Linked DNA regions of Caenorhabditis elegans. The protein of the gene in region 2 interacts with the protein of the main gene of each other region in a pairwise test. Each region holds a gene or a part of one and is shown on either strand. Other genes may lie near its edges.

Evidence for each region.
Region 1: the proteins of iglr-2 (region 2) and paqr-2 interact in a protein complementation assay, tested with the Caenorhabditis elegans proteins (one study listed by BioGRID).

What each region holds. Positions count from the first base shown.
Region 1 is NC_003281.10:5,373,619-5,382,759, forward strand, and holds paqr-2 (Adiponectin receptor protein), read right to left. Parts: upstream 6,312-9,141; 5' UTR 6,302-6,311; coding exon 6,218-6,301; intron 6,141-6,217; coding exon 6,051-6,140; intron 5,519-6,050; coding exon 5,415-5,518; intron 5,367-5,414; coding exon 5,227-5,366; intron 4,545-5,226; coding exon 4,177-4,544; intron 3,769-4,176; coding exon 3,034-3,768; intron 2,821-3,033; coding exon 2,596-2,820; 3' UTR 2,595-2,595; intron 2,547-2,594; 3' UTR 2,081-2,546; downstream 1-2,080. Other genes in the region: Y32H12A.6 (Flavodoxin-like domain-containing protein), read right to left, coding at 7,422-7,597, 7,643-8,108, 8,175-8,372; Y32H12A.7 (ABC1 atypical kinase-like domain-containing protein), read right to left, coding at 8,817-9,002.
Region 2 is NC_003281.10:8,325,063-8,334,307, forward strand, and holds iglr-2 (Immunoglobulin domain and leucine-rich repeat-containing protein 2), read right to left. Parts: upstream 5,886-9,245; 5' UTR 5,849-5,885; coding exon 5,668-5,848; intron 5,385-5,667; coding exon 5,247-5,384; intron 5,199-5,246; coding exon 4,981-5,198; intron 4,935-4,980; coding exon 4,835-4,934; intron 4,787-4,834; coding exon 4,588-4,786; intron 4,538-4,587; coding exon 4,418-4,537; intron 4,372-4,417; coding exon 4,237-4,371; intron 3,884-4,236; coding exon 3,659-3,883; intron 3,610-3,658; coding exon 3,490-3,609; intron 3,228-3,489; coding exon 3,078-3,227; intron 3,028-3,077; coding exon 2,712-3,027; intron 2,362-2,711; coding exon 2,230-2,361; intron 2,184-2,229; coding exon 2,005-2,183; intron 1,954-2,004; coding exon 1,845-1,953; 3' UTR 1,537-1,844; downstream 1-1,536. Other genes in the region: F10E9.12 (DUF7107 domain-containing protein), read left to right, coding at 75-482; ZC262.13 (FIP (Fungus-Induced Protein) Related), read left to right, coding at 1,227-1,256, 1,306-1,536; mrps-18A (28S ribosomal protein S18a, mitochondrial), read right to left, coding at 6,067-6,112, 6,160-6,321, 6,371-6,469, 6,539-6,668, 6,720-6,834; ZC262.2 (small acidic/RSRC2 family protein), read left to right, coding at 7,162-7,214, 7,258-7,378, 7,711-7,865, 7,916-8,000, 8,047-8,202, 8,254-8,385; ZC262.4 (uncharacterized protein), read right to left, coding at 8,601-8,654, 8,706-8,969, 9,016-9,147.

The DNA.
Region 1 (9,141 bases), 3.0 Mb from region 2:
CCGCACTTTTTTAAAAATAAATATCTGAACAGAAACTATTGTTGAACTGATTTTCATTCGTTTTGAAAATTGAGTTTCTAAAAACCGAAAATGCTGTGGAAATCGTGGAGATACACGTTTCAATACCAAAAAACGACCACCTTCAACGGATAAATCCGAAAATTGTATAAGGAATAACTAGAAAATGCTGCGAGAATGTTCTTTGAAATGGGCTTCACGAAAAGAAAAAGAACATCGAATTAGTGTGTATCTCTGTGTCTGTGTGTTCACTCAATCAATTTCACTCGGTCTACATTCGACATAGTCTCGCAAAAACACAATCCCCCGACATCACAAAAGGTTTCCACTGCGCGTGTTTCACTGAAAATATGATTTCACACAGATGTGAATTTCACGAGGCTGATTTACGGTATTCGGTCTCGAGTCGAGTGATGCGAAAAAGATATTGCTCCTTTGAAAAGTACAGTAGTTTTGCAATTTCTTTCAATTTTTCTTGTTTTGCTTTAAAAATCAAAATGAGATTTGTGCAGTAAACTGTAGAAAAAAAATTTTGATTTTAAATTAAAAAAAAAACAAAACAGCGAGGAGGACAAATTACTTTTAAAGGCGCACACTTTTATTTTGCTTTTTTGCGATTAAAAAATGCATCATAAATCGCAAAATGTATCATTTGAACAAAATAATGTATAACTGTGGGGTGCCGAAAATTGAGGCAGCTGATTCCGGAAATAGAGATCTGCGCCATTCGGTCAGAAGACGAAATAACACACAAAATAAATTGGACAGACTATTTTTAGTGCCATGGTAATTTTGAACAAAACATCGAGAATTTTTCTGAATATTACTGGGCAATTTAGAGAAAACTTGACCGCTGAAGGAAACAATTAAACATTTTGTTTTTTAAGTGTTTTCTTAAAATAAAATGCTGAAACAGTTATTTTATTCAATATTCAAAATTCACAAAGGCCTTCCAAAACTGACGGTTTTCCCCAATTTCCAAGTTCTTTAGAAATTGTGAAAGATTTTTGTCGGTTATTTTGAAGCAAAATCCGGAAAATCGCGAAAAGATTCTAATGATTAATGCTTAATCCTTTTGAAGGAAGAAAAATATTATCAAAATATATAAACTGGCATGTGAAACGTGGCTTATTTTTTATTTTGTTTTTTATTTAAGCTCCTCCCATTCCTGACCTTTCGTTGAAATTTTCATTTATTAGTTTATTAAAAAATGGGAGGAGCTTAAATAAAAAACAAAATAAAAAATAACCCACGTTTCACATGACAGTTTATATATTTTGATAATAACAAAATATTATTTTTCATTTTGATTCAGGAAATTTTCAGGAGAATGGGAGGAAAGTTGGAGCTAATAAATCGAAAATTTTGTTGTTTTTATCAGAGCAGAGACAAGAAATTGTTAGAATGCGGCGACCCGAAAGAAAAAAGAAAGAAAAATAGAATAAAAAACTGAGGAGCAACAAGTGAACAATGTGAGAGAACAAACTAGCCGCAGAGGGTGCAGACATGCATACAAGTGTACGAAGAGAACGGAGACTCTGCGTGACACACAACTCTGGCACTGGAATAATTTTTTGGGGCTGAAAACAAAAAATTCTAAAATAAACAAACAAATCTGAAAATTTGTCTACTTTTGGTACCGTACTCCATTTAAAGGGACATTCTACTATAGTATGCGTGGGTCTCGCAGAGATACAATATTTAATCCCTATTTTCGTAGATGCGCCTTTCAAGTTACTGTACTCGAGATTGTTTAATAAAATTCCTTAAATTATCGACTTCAAACCAATTTCAGATTTCAGCACTTCCTGATCGCCTGAGAACATTGAAAAACCAAAAATCTGATCAAATTTCAAGTAAAATGAAGAAAAAGGGTGATTTTGCTAGATTTTCACCTGCATGGTGTGGAACTACGAGTTTTTTCTGTAGAAAACTGATGAGAAATTGCAAGATATGTGATTTCGTGAATGTTTCGCTAAAACTCTTAAATTTCCGCTATTTTACAGACACTAGCGCTTGGTAATTATGCCGACTTCATGAATTGTTCGAAAAATCACAAAAAAAAATCGAAAATTTTATTTTAAATCGCCTAGACGACTACACTCACACGAAAATAGAATAATGGGCTACACAGTAAAATGAAATTCATAAAATACGAAAAAGAAAAAAAAAACAAAGCTCGAAAAGTTCAATGTTAAAGTTTAAAAAAACCAAATCTGGTTCCGAGAAAATGAAGGAGAACGCGAAAACAAGAAAAGAATAATAAGAAAACTAATTTCAATGGAAGAAAACGGAACGAAAAGGGGGAATAAAATGAAAAAAGGAGTGTATAGAATTTATCACATTGGAATTTTAGCTGAGAATGTTTCGACAGATAGTTGAGGAGCGTGGGGAAGGGGAACCAGGTAATTTGAAAGAAAATGGAAAAAAAAATGGTGAAAATGAGCAGAAAAAGGATAGTATGAAGAGGGTTGTAGCAGCTTCAAGAAGAGCATATATACGCAACTATACATATTGTGCAGAGGTTTCTGAAAATTATAAATTTTTTAAAAATAAAAAATTGGAAACAAATCTACCTCATAAACCAACATCCGCCGGTGTCCAGTCTCTGACATTGAGTGGCTCGTCGAGCCCAAGCAAAGTGCCAACGAAGGAAGGATTCAACTCGTTACCGTAACGAGTTTTCAGTTGATCCGGGCAGGATCCTTTCATGAGCTTATGCATTCCCATTTGGGAGATCGCGTGATAATGAACAAAAGCGGCGAGCACGACAAATGTGTGAAAGAGTTGATGCGATTGGAACTGAAAAAATAAACGTTATTAGTTTTTTTTTGAGTAAAAAAGATTGTTTAGCTTTTATTTTTTGAGTCTTTTTCGTATTTTCGTAAATTTTCTTTTGCAAAATGTGGTTTAAAATCTTTAAAGTTATGTTGTCTGGTTTTCCGGAAAACCGAGAATTGAAAATATATATTTTTATATTTTTCTCCAATTGCTAGTTTTTTTGAAACCACATACCCAAATATCGCACTTTCCAGGGAAACATCTCTCAGGTACACGTGTCGCATAGAGTGTTGCACCACCAATATACATGGCTCCCATCATAATCATCAAATGAACTTGTGACTCCTCAACCATATAATGAACACCGTCAACTACAAGTAAATGAAATGCTGGGACCACAGCCGATAGGCCCATTGCTATGAAAACTGCTGCTCGTACAGGCCGGAATTTGGGCTCCGCGAATTTATCCCAAAGCGAGACGACCATTGCAGCGATTCCAAGTATAATAATCATTCCGTTGTATATTATCATTGGTTGAGGTCTACAGTAGAATGCAAAATAGATCCACGGAACAAATGATCCAACGATGAGTAAGGAAATCCCAGTGTAATCGAGTTTACTGAACAGTTTAGCCATTTCAATAGAATGGCATGCAACCGTATGAAAAAGGAATGACATTCCAAGACATATCACTGCACCGAGGAAAAACGCCGAGTAGATCAATTTCTCCACCCATTGCATTTGATCATGGGGACGAGTCAGAAACCATATTCCGATACCGAAGAACGCAACACATCCATACATATGAGTCCAAATGTTTCCTGTTTCAGTGTGCAATGCAAAAATACTCTTGAAGCAGCTACTGAACGATGGAAGTGGAGGACGATGTCCTGTACGGAGGTATTCGTTATCTTGAAGCCATTCGGGTAGAGTTTCGAAATTTGTTGCCTTCCAGCGGGCTTCCCAGAACTGAAAATAATTTTGTAATATTTTTTTTTTAACTTTAATCGTTTTTTTTAACCAAAAAATTATTCTTTAAGATTTCTCATAATTTCAAGTAATTGTCTTGCAAAAAATATGTAGAAACTTATCAAAAATGTATATTTTTGAAAATTTTCTTATCAATAGCTCACATGTGTGCAAAATTTTTTGGCTCCTAGTACAAAGAAAATTTTGAATGTAATCAGAAAACTTTTAATAGAAAGAAAAACCAAATCAAACATTTTCGGAGATTCGTGAATTTTCAAAACTTATTAGAAATGTTTTTCTCTACATAATTTGTTTAAAGCAAAATTGCCGCCAATTAACATTTATCGCTGCATTTTTTGCTTTTTTTTGTTGCAATTTTGCAATTATCTCACTGGAGTTTTCCCTCACCCTCTTGATAACAGCTCTTGGTCCTTCTCCAGTTTCGCTAGGAATAATAACTTCTTCTTCATTAATCTCAACTTCAAGCTCATCATCATCATCACTATGATCCAAATGAATCTCCGCATCATGTCCAGCAGTAACAAATCTCAAATGTTTTCCATCTTCGTGTCCCCGACGTTGTGGATGTAATTTGTATTTGACAATTCGTCGACGATGCTGATTTCCACCTTCTTCATGATTATCATGAATAACTGCAACTGTCATCTTTTCTCCTTTTGCATTCGGCATACTCCATGCTCGACGATGTCCTTTTTTGAATGGTAATGCGGCTGCTTTAGACGTTGATGGGACATCTCCATTGTCAATTTCGATTCCTATAGAAATCATTTAGTAATAGTGTAGTTTAGTGAAAGGAGGGAAGTATTTTTGAAAAAAACGAATGAGAACACTTCCTGTCACCTAAAATTAATTTGAGGTGACGGTCAACAAGTTTTTTTTTGGTTGGAAATTTAACTTTTAATTCACTAATTTATTAAACGAGAGATCGGTGTAAATGATGCGATTTTTGGTTTATTTCGTTACACTGTAAACAAATAGTAAAAAAAAATTTTTTTTTGAAAATGTTCTCATAAATTGCGCAAAACTCTTATTTTTTGTTTGGTTTTGCTTTAATATCAAAAGCTCAAAAGAAATATTTTGTTTTGTTTTTATTGAACATTTTTAAAAATCGATTTTTTTACATTTAAAAGCCTTTTTTTCTTGAACTCTAACCTTTATGGGAATTAAATTGGATAAATCGATAATTTTTGAAAAAATTGGTTTAGATTTTTATTTGGAACATCATAAATAATGTAAATGTGTGAATTTTTTAATTAGAAACATTTCTTCAAAAATTCCATTTTTATGGACGAATTTTAATACTTCTCAAGAAGAATTTGTGGGAATGAACTATGAAATGAATATCAAAAATCGGTTCAAATACAAAAAGCATGTTATGCGAAATATTAAAGTATTTTTCGCACTTTAAAAAAAAATCATTTTTTTCAATAACCTTACCTTCAAGCAAAGTTGGAAGCCTATTCTGCCTTGTCACATACATTGATTCGTCTCTTTGCTGACTTGCAGGCTGTTCAACAACCTTACTATGACGAACAATAATCTCAAATCGTTGACCATCTGATGGCTGACTATTCGGACTGAAACAATGTTTTTTTGGAAGAAAAAAAAATCTGATGATTATTTACAATTGAACATCGACTTGATCAACAATCACATTCTGATTCTCTTGTGTATCAGCCAACTGCAGCGGTCCGTCAGTGATAATATTTTCTGCCTCTCGGAGCACATCCTGCAATGCACTTTTCAATTTTTCAAAATTTGATTTCTGATCACCGTAAAAATAACATTTGTCATATGAGGGCAAGCAGTGATAAATATGAAAACACGAAGTGGCTGGCTGGAGCTTGAAGAATGATATTCTAGCTTTTTTAATATTAAATAAGAATTAGCGGTAACTGACCACTAAAAAAATAGGAAAAGGTTTCAGAAAAATTCTCACTATTTGTTTTTATTGGTTTGCAGGAAATTCAAAAATAATGCCGTTAATTTTTTTTTGTATATCTGAAAAAACCTAAACTTCAGAAACTTTAAAATTTTTATACAGCTACAGCTTTAAATACCGAGAAAAAATTTCAATTTTTTTTTGAAAATAGAAGATCTGAAATAGTGGAAAATTACCATTTCTTTGAAAACACTTTTTCTTCAAAAAAACATCTCCAAACAGTGAGAATTTCTTAAAACTTCTAGCTCCAGCCACCACTCACCGACAACAAAAATCAATAATCATATGCTAATCTCTTTCAACCCAACAAAAAACGTACAGTAACACTCCGCAATGGGCTTTGTAGATTACTGCTATTCCGATTTTCCATAATTAATTCATCATTGTCCAACACCATCACCATATCTCTCTGAAATGTAATAAATTAAAACTAAAAACTGTGTTTTTTTTCTTTTTTCATAGAATAGATCACGTGAAATAGATTACCTCGTCAAACGAATTTCGAACGCTTTTTTGCAAAAGTTTTTGCGATTCCGCCGGTGTTGCCGATTCCACGTCATCTTCCTCCATTTTGTTAAAGCTGAATTTTAGTTTTTAAAATTTTTTTCAACCGAGAATATAAGAAATTCCAGAAAAAAATCAAATAAAATCGGAACTGTGAGAGAATAAAGCGGATATTGATTAAAAAGCTTTTGCTCACACATACAAACCAAAAGCGCAAAGTTTTCTCCGTTTTCTCAAGAAAGCTTATGAGACAAGAGGGCGACTCGTGCTGCTGGAATGTGTGTTGGTGCGGGGAAGCGCATTTGCTGACCGGAGACTCAGAAGAGGTCAAAGTACTCCTGCATGAATTGGATCCAATGTAGTGAAATTATGACTTCCTTGTTTAAAATATGAGTTTCTGAAAAATTTGTTGAGTATTTTCAACGAGCTTTCAAGTTAAAACAGATTTTTTGTGTTTCCCGATGTAAAGCTCCAAGACGTGTTCGAAGAAATGGCGGAAAAATCGGCGGAAAAAAATTTGGGAAGTTACGCGAATTTTCCATGAAAAAAAGATTCGAAGGCAATTTTTCATATAATTTTTAAATAGTTTTCAATTTAAGTTATCGAAAATTGAGGATTTTAATGTTTTAAATGAAGAAAACACCTGAAAAACCACAAAACTTCGCTAAAAATTAACAAAAGATAAACGAAAAAGACACAATTGATATTCGTGATGAGACCCAAAGTGGAAGTGGTATGTGCCTTTAACAACTCGTTACGGTATTTTGCTTCTAAACTTTTTTTTGAGTTCTTTTACAAAAAGGTTTTCGTAGATTTCTAGTTTTCAGCACTGATCAAACTCATTCTAATTTTTTAATGCTTCGAAATATGCAAAAAAAAACTCCAATTATTTACAAGAAGCAACGGAAACAGCTAAACTTTAGAGCCCGTGCCGAGACCCGTCCTGGAAATGACATGCGCCTTTAAAACTACACTACGGTAATTTGGATCAATATTTACTTTCTCAAAAATTAATGTTTTCTTATTATTTTGGCAGTCACCAATATTCTTTAAAAAAAGCGAATTTATTTATGAAAAATGTTGAAAAAATAATACAAATATACAAAATATCTTTAAAATGCAGGAAAATTCAATTAAAGCTCGATATATAAACAATTATTAAAATATAAATATTTATATTCAAATTTTATTTCGACTTCTTATGTTTCTCTTCGACTTCATTATCATCCGAAGAGCTCTCAGATCTATCGTCTCCAACTTCCGATTCTTCGGTGTCTTCACCACTCATTCCAGGAAGATGCTTATCCATTTGCAAAAGGAGTTCGAACGAAAATTCCACAAATCGCTCCATAGTTTGCTTATCTGAAACTCAACATTTTAACAATAATCATTATTACGGTATGATACCAGTGTCAGTTGTATTGAAAAGTTCGACTTCAGTAATTTGCCTAGCTCCCAAGATTTTCATTCGTTTCAGCAAAGTTCTGGCGACTTTATTGAACCCAGCTGGCCCATCATCACTGCTTCCGAAGCCAACAATTGAAAATCTGATTTTCTCGAAATTCGCCTTCTTTCTAAGCTTCGAGTCCGCTGCGAGATCCTCAAGCCATTCCAAAAACCATTCTGTCGAGGGTGTCGGCTGACCACCAGCCGTAGTTTCAGAGATAAAAATACAAAATCCCTTGAAGGCCATTAACTCCTTCACATCCAAAGAGTCTGACCACCAAATCATCGGTTTTCGGACCATTTCATCACAAAGCTTGTCGTGAATCACCTTGGCCCACGGAGCTGCGAGCCCGTCTTCTTTTCCTAGAACTATTACGACGGCTTCTGATTCGGCAAGTTCCTCGGCAAGTCGTTCTTCTTCTTTTTTCTGAAAGAAATTGGAAGTCGTGGCGAGACCAGATTTTTGTTGATTTTGTTTTCCACTATTACCAACCTTTGAATAACGTTCATAATATGCATGGCACTTGCGATAGAGCAGATAGACAAATCCCGGCATCAGAACTCCCAAAGCGGCAGTTATGTATAGCAGAATCTCGTCCTTTCCTTCCAAATAATCCTCGAGCCACGACTGCGGCTCCTTGCCACGTGGACCTCCTTCAGGTCGCAGTGGTGGAACTTGGTAGGCACACATTTGGATATTTTACTGAAATTCGAGCAATTCTCAAATAAGATAATAATAAAAAGATTCAAAACGTAGACACCGATTTAGTTTTGAGAGAAGTGTCTGCGCCTTTAATATAGCCATTTTCTTCATTAAAAACGTACCAAAATTACACCACAACACATCATGCAAGGAGCACCACACAGCAGGCATCTAAGTAAAAAAAATTGGAAAAAAAATCAAACTGGCTAAGAAAAAGAAGTAATAGAACTGGACAGTGAGACCAGCATTCCGAAAAAAAATTTAAAAAGTTGAAAAGCAGAAAATATTGTTGAACATTTTTATTAGCAACAGTTGAAAAATGCGTAAAACCCAATGAAACAAAAAGAAGATCTCTAAATACTAAAACTATAAAATCTTAAAGCTACTCTGAAACTGTACAATTGAAAAGGACGATTTTCGCAAAAAAGTCCACTATACGAGAACATTTAATAAAAACGGTCTAGCGCATTGGAAGAGATCAAGATCCGGATCCAGAGATCGGCCGAATCCTTCGAGAACCATTACAGACAGGATTACTGTAGTGAAAGCCGAGTCGAGCTCCACTTTGTGCTCCGCCACAATTGTGAACATTTCTGAGAGAAGTGCCGAGATATTGAGCTGAAAAAGTTTATATTGATGAGGGAACTTTATTTGAAAAATTTCAATTTCAATATATTTCGAAACTAAAAAACCTATAATTTCTTGAGTTACTGATTTTTGAAACAAAATCGGAAATACATAGTTTTGATTTAAATTT
Region 2 (9,245 bases):
CTGAATAAATCCATGCGCCTTTAAATACGAGTTCTAAAATGTTCGATAATAATAATTTCGAAACATAATTGCAGTTACTTCTCGTAGTGTTCTTCACATTTTCTCTTGCTGAAACTGAAGTCAACATAACTTCCTCTGAAGAATCACATAATGAAACTGAATCGGAAATTCACATTCCATCATCCGAAGAGTCTCCAAAAGAAGAAATTGATGATAAGCTACCACTAGAAGCAGTTCTACAAAAATCCAAAGAATTCGATGAAATCCCAACTACTCCGGATAATATTCCATATCTTCCATTAATCCAAAGATGCTCTATTGACACGGACTGCTCATCGGAAACCGCTTGTTACGATGGAAAATGTTTAAATGCGAAACGTTTCCAGCTATTCCCGTATTTATTCCGAAGGTGTGACAGTCAATTGGATTGTCCTTCTGGAAATCAGTGTATTATCAATATGTGTATCCCATTTCGATGGTGAATTATTTTCTTGTTTCTTCTTTTTTTTTCATAATTCTTGTGCATAATAAATCTTTCAACAATTATGTTTCAACTAATAAGGTTACCGTAAGACGCCAAGGTGTACTTCAAATTTCAAAGTTTCAGTTAATTAAAGTAGAGACCTGACGTCCTGAAACGAATAAAAAGTTTCACTTACAGTACCCGCGGAAATTGCTTTTTCTTTTCTATATCACCCAGACGCAAAAATTTAGCGATTTTTATGCCGAAAATACGGCACCGGCCTCGAAACGACAATTTTTCTTAAGTGCAAAATTTTGTGCGCCTCAAAGACTACTGTAATCCCAAACTTTTGTACGTTGGAATTTTTATAGATAACATTTTTTTCATATTTTGTCATAAAAATATGATGATTCATCGAAAAACTGATATAAAAACAATAAGAACTCATAAGTTCATGAAAAAACGTGTGGCTACAGTAGTCTTCAGAGGCCGAATTGCGAAATATCGTACTCTTGAGTACTGTAGCTGGATTATTTCGTTCGCTTCAAGATCAAGTAGCAAATTTGATTCTTAAATTTTTGGGGAGATTTTAAAATTGAGCTAACACAATTTTTAAATTCATCAAATTTCTCACCGAGAGAATCTCTCATTCGGAAAAATGTCTCTATTGTTGTAATATATTTTTTTCTTTTTTTCTAAAGTGTCGATCAACTGATAAGAGCTCTCGTCAGGTGATATTGATTATCTGGCACTTTTCAATTCTATGACTCAATTCCTCAAAATTCTATTTTTGGTGAGTGAGAGGTATGATAACAAATTTCTTATTATTTTGAAGTTTTCAGCTTCTTCTCCTCGTTCCGCTGATATCATCAGCATCCACACGTGGACAATGCTTGACCGATCGGAACTGTGATAGCAATCATAAATGTGTGAATCGACATTGTTTCTATCAGAATGAGCATGTCTTCAAATGTGTCGATGACCTCACTTGTCCGGAATTTCATTCATGCCACAATCGAGTATGTTTGATGCAGAAATCGTCGCCAGAAAAAAGAATACAATCAAAAATTTAATCTCTGAATATGCGTACAGTAAAACTTGAATTAAATGAAAATAAATAAATGAACACATGAAATTTGGAACAAAAAGTGGGAATTGGGGGAGAAGTTTGCATGGATTTCCTGGCATGAAACAATTGAATTGGAAAGATATATTAAAGACACTCTCGAAAAGAAAAAAACAAAGCTCTAGTTGAGAACATTATTCCTGAAGATGGTAAGTAAGTGTTTTAGGACTAATTGCAAAAAGAAATGATAGGTCGGATGATGATGGCACCGATTTTGGAATGGTTATAGACAAACAAACAAAATGATTTAAAGAATTATCTCTTTTCTGGTGGAGAATCTGGCGATCGATGAGCTCCTGATGAGCTCGGAGAAGAGGTACTTGCCTCGTTTGATATTGAAGATGTTGTTGGTTTGGTAGTGAATCTGAAAGTATAGATGAGAAATGTTTTTCATCACTGACAGTGAGACATTAACCTAATGGAAGGCGCATTTGTTGGAATAATTCCCGGTCGTACGTTTCCTTGTTCATCAATAACATATTCAGGAAGACTATGGAATGATGAACTACGCGAGAGGCGAGAAGGAGTGTCCATTGAACCATCAATAGTTGCCAAATCATCAGGAATCTCTAGAGCAGCACGTACTTTTTCTTCCTGAAATTTCAAAAAAATCAATTAATCTAGTTTTCCAGAAACTAACATTCTCCAATTGAACTTCTGGTGATGTTGCTTGCAGTGATTCGAGTAATTTATTAACATAACGTTGCTTCACTTTGTACTGGCGCATCATTTTTAGACGATGTTGTAGACTGAAGGTTCGCATGCGATTCACCTGGAAAAAATTTATAAAAATGTATTTTTTCTTTTTTTCCAAAGTTTGGTCATATTATTTTCAACTTTTGAAGAGAATAACCAAACTATTTAAAACTCATCTTATTATGATAAACAAAATTCGAATTTGATTGTAATTTTTTTTTTAAATCGATTTTTAGATTCTCGTTCTTTAATTTTTCTTTTTGATTAAGATTTTTACACATAGGACATTTTCGATTTTTATTGGAAATTATTTTTAAATTTTGAAATTTTTTGCCAATTTTTCAGAGATTTCAAAAACCTTTTCTGCACATTTTTCATTTAGAAATTTGCATAAATTTTCTTTTTGAAAAAAAAACCCCATTTTACCTGTCGCTCATAGCTCTCCCATAATTGTTCTGCACGTTTTGATCCATATTCTCTGACTCTACCCAATTGATTATTATATCCATCTCTCATTGCATCCAAATGTGAATGTACAGCATCCACTTGAGCTGCTTTATAATTTTGAAATTTCTCTTGTTGTGATGCATACGATACACGAAGTGCTTCAACTTGTTGATGATAATTATCACGAACAATTTGAACGCGTTTCGTGTATTTTTCATGAAGTGACTCCATTTGACGAACACGATATTTTTCCATTGCTTCAACCATTTTTCGGACACGTGACAGGCGTTCGGCTCTAGAAAAATCATAGATTTAATTAATTTATTAATTTAATTAATCTGGTACCTTTGAATCCACCAAAGAGCACTTTTTCGGGTGAGAATCCATGTAATATTGAGCAAGAATGATATGAGACAAACGATTAATGAAGTGGCGAGACCTCCCCAAAATACTGAATTGAACACATCATAGCTGTACCAATCGAGATAATCGAGTCTAAAAACTTTAGTTATTACCTTCGATTATTGAAATTTATGGTAGGTGGAAAACCGATTTTTTTAAGACTAATAATGACAATTTTAGAAAAAGTTGAAAGTCTCCAAAATTGTTAAATTTCCGTCTCGATTAGTTTTTATTTCATTTCTGGATATTTTAGGGGAGAAATTTTAGACCGCCGTAATCATATGTATTTTGAGAAATTTTAAAAAGTTTGGTTGAAGATATAATTTCTCCTTCTTTTACTAATTATTTGAAGTACCTAAAATGATAAATTCCATAATCTTTTCCATATTCATTTTCCACGACACAAACATATCGTTCAACATGTGATCGGTTGGGTGATCGAATTAGAAGAGACCCGCCAGATTGAATTTCATAGCTGAAAATGTAATTATCTGTTATTTAAGTCTATTTTTGATATAAAATACCTTTCTTTCATCGTTTCCGAAACATTTGTATAACTGATTTCATCTGTGATTGGATCATAGGATCCAAGCTTCTCTGCTGGTCTAAATCTCCACCAACTGATTTTTGGAGATGGAACTCCGTAGGAGAAACAAGAAATTGCTGTTGGTTTCTCATATTTTCCATATTGAATTCCAGTATCATTAGCAACAACACCAATCTTACAAGATGCCGATTCAATTTCTTCTCTGAAAATTGAAACATTTTGATTTAAAAAAAATTACCCAAACACCATATTTTGCGCCAGAATAACCGGCCTCGGCACGACAATGTTTTATGTTAATGCTAAAATGTGTGCGCCTTTAAAGATTATTGTACAGCCAAAATTTTGTTTTTTATAGATGTTTTATAGATTTTTCAGTAGTTTTTCACATTATTTGTTAAAATTCATGTATTTAAATAAATATTATCGCGAAGAATTATGAAAAATCGATGAAAATTCTGCAGGAACAAAAGTTTGAAAGTACAGTACTCTTTTCTTTTCGAGACCTGTATTTTCGCCGGCAAAACCGAAAATTTTCGCGACCAGATGATAATTTACCGTGTCAAATTGCAATCTTTTCGAATACTTGTCTGTGCATAAACTGGTAGAGACCATTGCAATAAACATTTATCACAAAGAAGCTGATTCGTAGAGAAATCGAATGAAACCTTTTGCATATGGTTGGTAGATGACCTAAAAATCCCGAATATATTATGAAATTTCGAAAAATATGTCTTACATTGGAATAAAATCAGCTGGAAGAGTTCTCAGCATTGTATCAGTGAAAGCCACATCCGTTACTGTAGAAGGTAAACGACCGGCAATATTTCGAAGCTCCGTTAGATATCGAGCAGAGAACCTGAATTTTTGGAAAAATTAATAATATCCAAATAATGAAAAATCACAAACTTTTTGAGTTTCGGCGTAAGGATTTGATGAAAATTCAAGTATCTTAGTGATGCGCCGTCAATATTAAGAGAATTTAAAAGTGGAGCATCTAATTGAAATCCCGTTTGCAAATCCAATTTGATTGCCGACAAACTACGAAGATTCGGGAACTTCCAATCGTCGAAAGATGGCCATAAGGATAGTTTATTGAAGGAAATATCTGTAAAAATAATTGTTAACTGCGATTATTCTTTTTTCTCGAACAAACCTAAATCTGTCAGCTTCGTCGAAATATTTTCAAAAGAAGTCAGTCTATTGCGTGAAACATTCAAAACTCTGAGGGTATTTGGCACTTCCAGGTGGGAAATCTAGAATTATTTCTTTGAATTGTTTTTTATTGCATAATTGACATACTCTATTCTGACTCAAATCTAGAATTTTTAATTTGGTATTACTCGTGTCGCATTCAAATTTCTCAAAATAATTCTTCGATAGGGATAGACTTTGAATCTTCGGGAAAATGCTCAAAAGGCGACAAACTTCTGAGCTCGATGTCAGCTCTGAATTTTCGATAGAAAGCACTTTGAGAGTTGGATGGATTACAGTTCCATTCAGAGATTCCAAATCACCATCTGAAAATCAAAATTTTGATACTTTTAAAGAAGCAATTCTCGATTTACCTCGGAGAATTATATGTTCTAGTTGCGGAAATGGTGCGAAAATATCGAAATTAAGCTGATCATGTTGCCAATTGTGAAGTTCCAAACGTTGAATATTTGATCCGTAGATTTTTTGAATTTCAAGAAGTTTTGATTCGTCTGTAAATAATGAAATAGTTTTTATTTGAATAGGGGGCCGAGGATGTCAGTTTTTCGATTTTCTCGAACACGTTTTTTGTGTTTTTCCTTATCCACTTTTAGAAAAGTTTTATTTTAATCTTTTATACACTGATGAACTGGGGAAAATTTAAAATTCTAGCTGAAAATAGGTTCTATCCTAAACTTTAAAAAAAAATTTTGGAGCGTTTCAGCTTGACCCTTTCTAATAAAGTACCTTTTGAAAAGTAACATCAAACATTTGTTTAAAAAATTAATTTCTTACCAATAGAAAAGCACTGAATATTTCTTGTAGAATCCCGAACACAACGACATCCGAGAACTTGAGGACATTTTTCAAGTTGAAGATCCAAAAATCCAGATGGCGATGAACTTCTATTTCTTTGTGATGTTGTCGTGTGAATTTGAATAAGAATAGCTACGACGAAAAATACAAATTTTCGCATTTCTTCTTTTCTTTGTATCAAGACATCTGCGATGTTCCTGGAAAAATGAATTGCAATAAAGCGGAAATAACAACAGATAAGAGATATTGAAAATGTTTTAAAACATTTCGAAACAACGATGGAAAGTTCGAGGATCGGAAAAATTCTTTAGAAACAAACAAAACAACAGAATAATATTGAGCTAAAAAAGGATAATATCTAAATAAAATCTAACAATTTCAATTGAGTGGATTCTTGAAGAGTTGTTGATTCTTCGTAGGATATCTGAAAACCAAAAAATAATTTGAATATTAAATTTTTCAGTGCAAAACCTTTTAATATAAAACCATGTTCCATGTCGTTGTTTCGTCTCCAATTGATACATTGACATATCATCTTTCCAGTATCGATTGAATCGTTTATAACCTGCTCTATCCGCTTCTGTGCCATATTTATCACCGAAAAGTCCAGACCAGAATGCTTGCATTACACATCTTCAAATAATTATTTGCATGTAAGCAACAGTTAGTTTCTTTTAATTACCTTTCCATTCTCAATTGTTGTTTCTTACAAAGCCCGGTGAGTTGACGTGGAAGAACAGTTCCATCGTCTCTCATGAATTGTTCCAAGATCAGAACATCTCTGAAACGATTAAAATAACATTTTTCAAATTGCGGAAAGAAAAAACAAGTAATTTTTCAAACAACTTACTTATAAGTGAGCTTAATTGGCACGTTGCATGTGCACAGCGAGCACAACTCGTCATCTTTTCGTGCTCCACGCGAGTCCGTCACCTTTTCCATTGAAATATACGTTGTTCCCTCTTTTTTATCTTCTTTCGCTGAATTATTAAAAGTTATTACATGTTAGCAAATGAACAAAATAAACGAACTCTGAAATTTATGTCCAGCGGCTCCTGATGCTGTCGATTGTAACCGTGAAGCCGTTTCGACAGCTGCTTTTATCTTACCGGCACAATTACTTGCGTAGAGACGAAGCATCTGCATTTATTATTGAATTTTTTATGAATGAAACGAGGTAAAAAAGATTGGAAAAACGTTTTGTTGAATCGAAAAAAAATGTGACCAGGGTACGGTTGACAAATGTACGCAAACACCACTTACGGACAAAACACACAATCTCACGACACATTTGAGAGAACTTTTTTTTACAGCTTCTGATCTGGAGATTCCTTCTCTTATAGAAGTATTATATAAAATTCTAAAAAGTAAACTGAAAAAAATTAAATATTTCATGTCTTTGTAGCCTGCCCGTCCCTCAGTTCTCCGTAACGATGTGGTTTTCCTTAAAACACTAAATTATTGATTTTCAGAATGGGAAAACATACGAAATTCGGCAGCAGTGACGACGAAGGAGAGACTGAGACGTACGTTGTTTCTTTCGAAGTTAACGAAAAAATCATTTTCCAGCAGTGTAGCAAAACGCCAAAAAGACGAGAAAAAGGAGAAGAAGAAGGAAAAACGAGACAGAAGTCGTTCTCCACACAAGGAACGCGAGAGATCTCCTAAACGAGACCGTCATCCAGAAAAGGTATATAATGAAACAATAAGACTCACTAGATAATTTAAATCGTTTCAAAAAATAGTTTGTTCAAATTAGAAAGTGTAAACTGAAATTAAAACAATAAATGACTTGAAATCGTTGCAAACTGAAACTAATATCTTAACGAATTTAGTTTTGTTTGCCGATGTGATCCGGAGTCTGAAACAAGGTGCACACCACATTGGTAGAAAGGTGAGAAAAGTACTGGAGAAACTCGAGAAAAATTTAAATTTTCAGGTTTTCACCCAAATTCATCTAGTGGCATATCTAGTTTTTAAAGCTAAATTTTAGCTTTAAATTCTTCTAAACCTCTTTTTCAGAATGAATCGAGACGTCACGACGATCGCGATCAAGAGAGAAGACGTGATTACGGAAGAAATGATCGGCGAGATGATAGAAGAGGCGACGGTAGCTGGAAAACGGATCGAAACGATCGGAATGATCGGAGAAACGACTTTCAAAGAAGAGATGACAAGTAAATATGGTTGATGTAAATCTGTTTTAAATTAAAAATTGAAATTACAGAAATCGTCTCTCTGCTGAAGAGATTGCTGCTCAACGAAAAGCTCTCTGGGGAAACAAAAAAGTGGCTGGAGAATCATCTTCCTCGGTACAACTGCGTTATTTTCTGCACATTAAAACCTTTTTTTTTTCAGAACACCACTGACACCGCCTCGTCATCTTCTGAACCTGCAACTGGAGGAAAAAACGAAAAATTATGGTCATCAGCCATCGCAGCAACTGGGGTCGATTCATCAAAAGCCAACAAATTCATGCGTTTGATGGGCGTCAAGAATGCACCGAAACCAACGGTGAGAAATATCTTATTTTACCATATAAATTGAATTATTTAACATTTATAGGATGATTCGTCGAGATTGTCAGATGAAAAGAATCGCCAAGATAAAATGCTAAACGATCTCGAGAAACAATATGCAATTGCTAGAGAAACAACTCATATGGGACGTGGAACTGGATTCGGATTTGGACATTGAGTTGCAATTTGACATTCCTTGCAAATATTATTCTAGTTTTCTGTTAATACTTCAAAATTCAATTTAATCCCCAATCAGTAAAACTTTATTGAAATTGAATAAACGGAATAAATGAATACAAATTGTTTATTGCAAAAATACTTAAATCAATTACATAAAATGCGGCTATTTTATAAAAACAAGAAGAGATCTCAAAGAAAAATAATTTAAATTATTTAGCAGGAACTCTCACTCGGGTCAGTAGCCATTGGAGCAGAGGCAGTGAGATTCTGAAAGAAGTTGCATTTCAAGAACCCAACATAGATTCCTGAAAAACTTACAATCTTATGCTCAAGAGCTCTCACACGGGAGAAAAGACATTCGGCAAGAAGATTCCAATCATCCACTGACTCAACAAATCCGTGGAATTTGGCAGCAATCTGACTGAGTTTGTTTGAGTCAACGAAATCCTTCATCATTTGCTCAAAAATGTCCGTTCGAAAATCCTTCTCACCGACAGTACCCAGCATCTCGCCGTACTTCAACCACTTTTCTGCATTTTCTTCGGTTATTGGGAAGATCGTTTTGAGATGCGTAAGAAATGCCTGAAAATCGAATTATTTCTCAAGAGGATAAAATTTTTATGATTACCTCAGTGTAATAATCACGGCATCCTCTGGAATAGAGCTGTTTAGCAATGGAGACGAAATACTCAAAGTCTCTTGAAGAATTGAGTCTCATAAAGTCTGAGATCGTGGTTTCCACAAATTTATCGGCATTCATAATTCTTTCGATAAAGAAGAACCTGCAAAAATACCAGAAAGTAATTGGAAAGTTTTTTCGCGAAGCTTTTCCATACGACAAGCCATCATGTAGAGCGA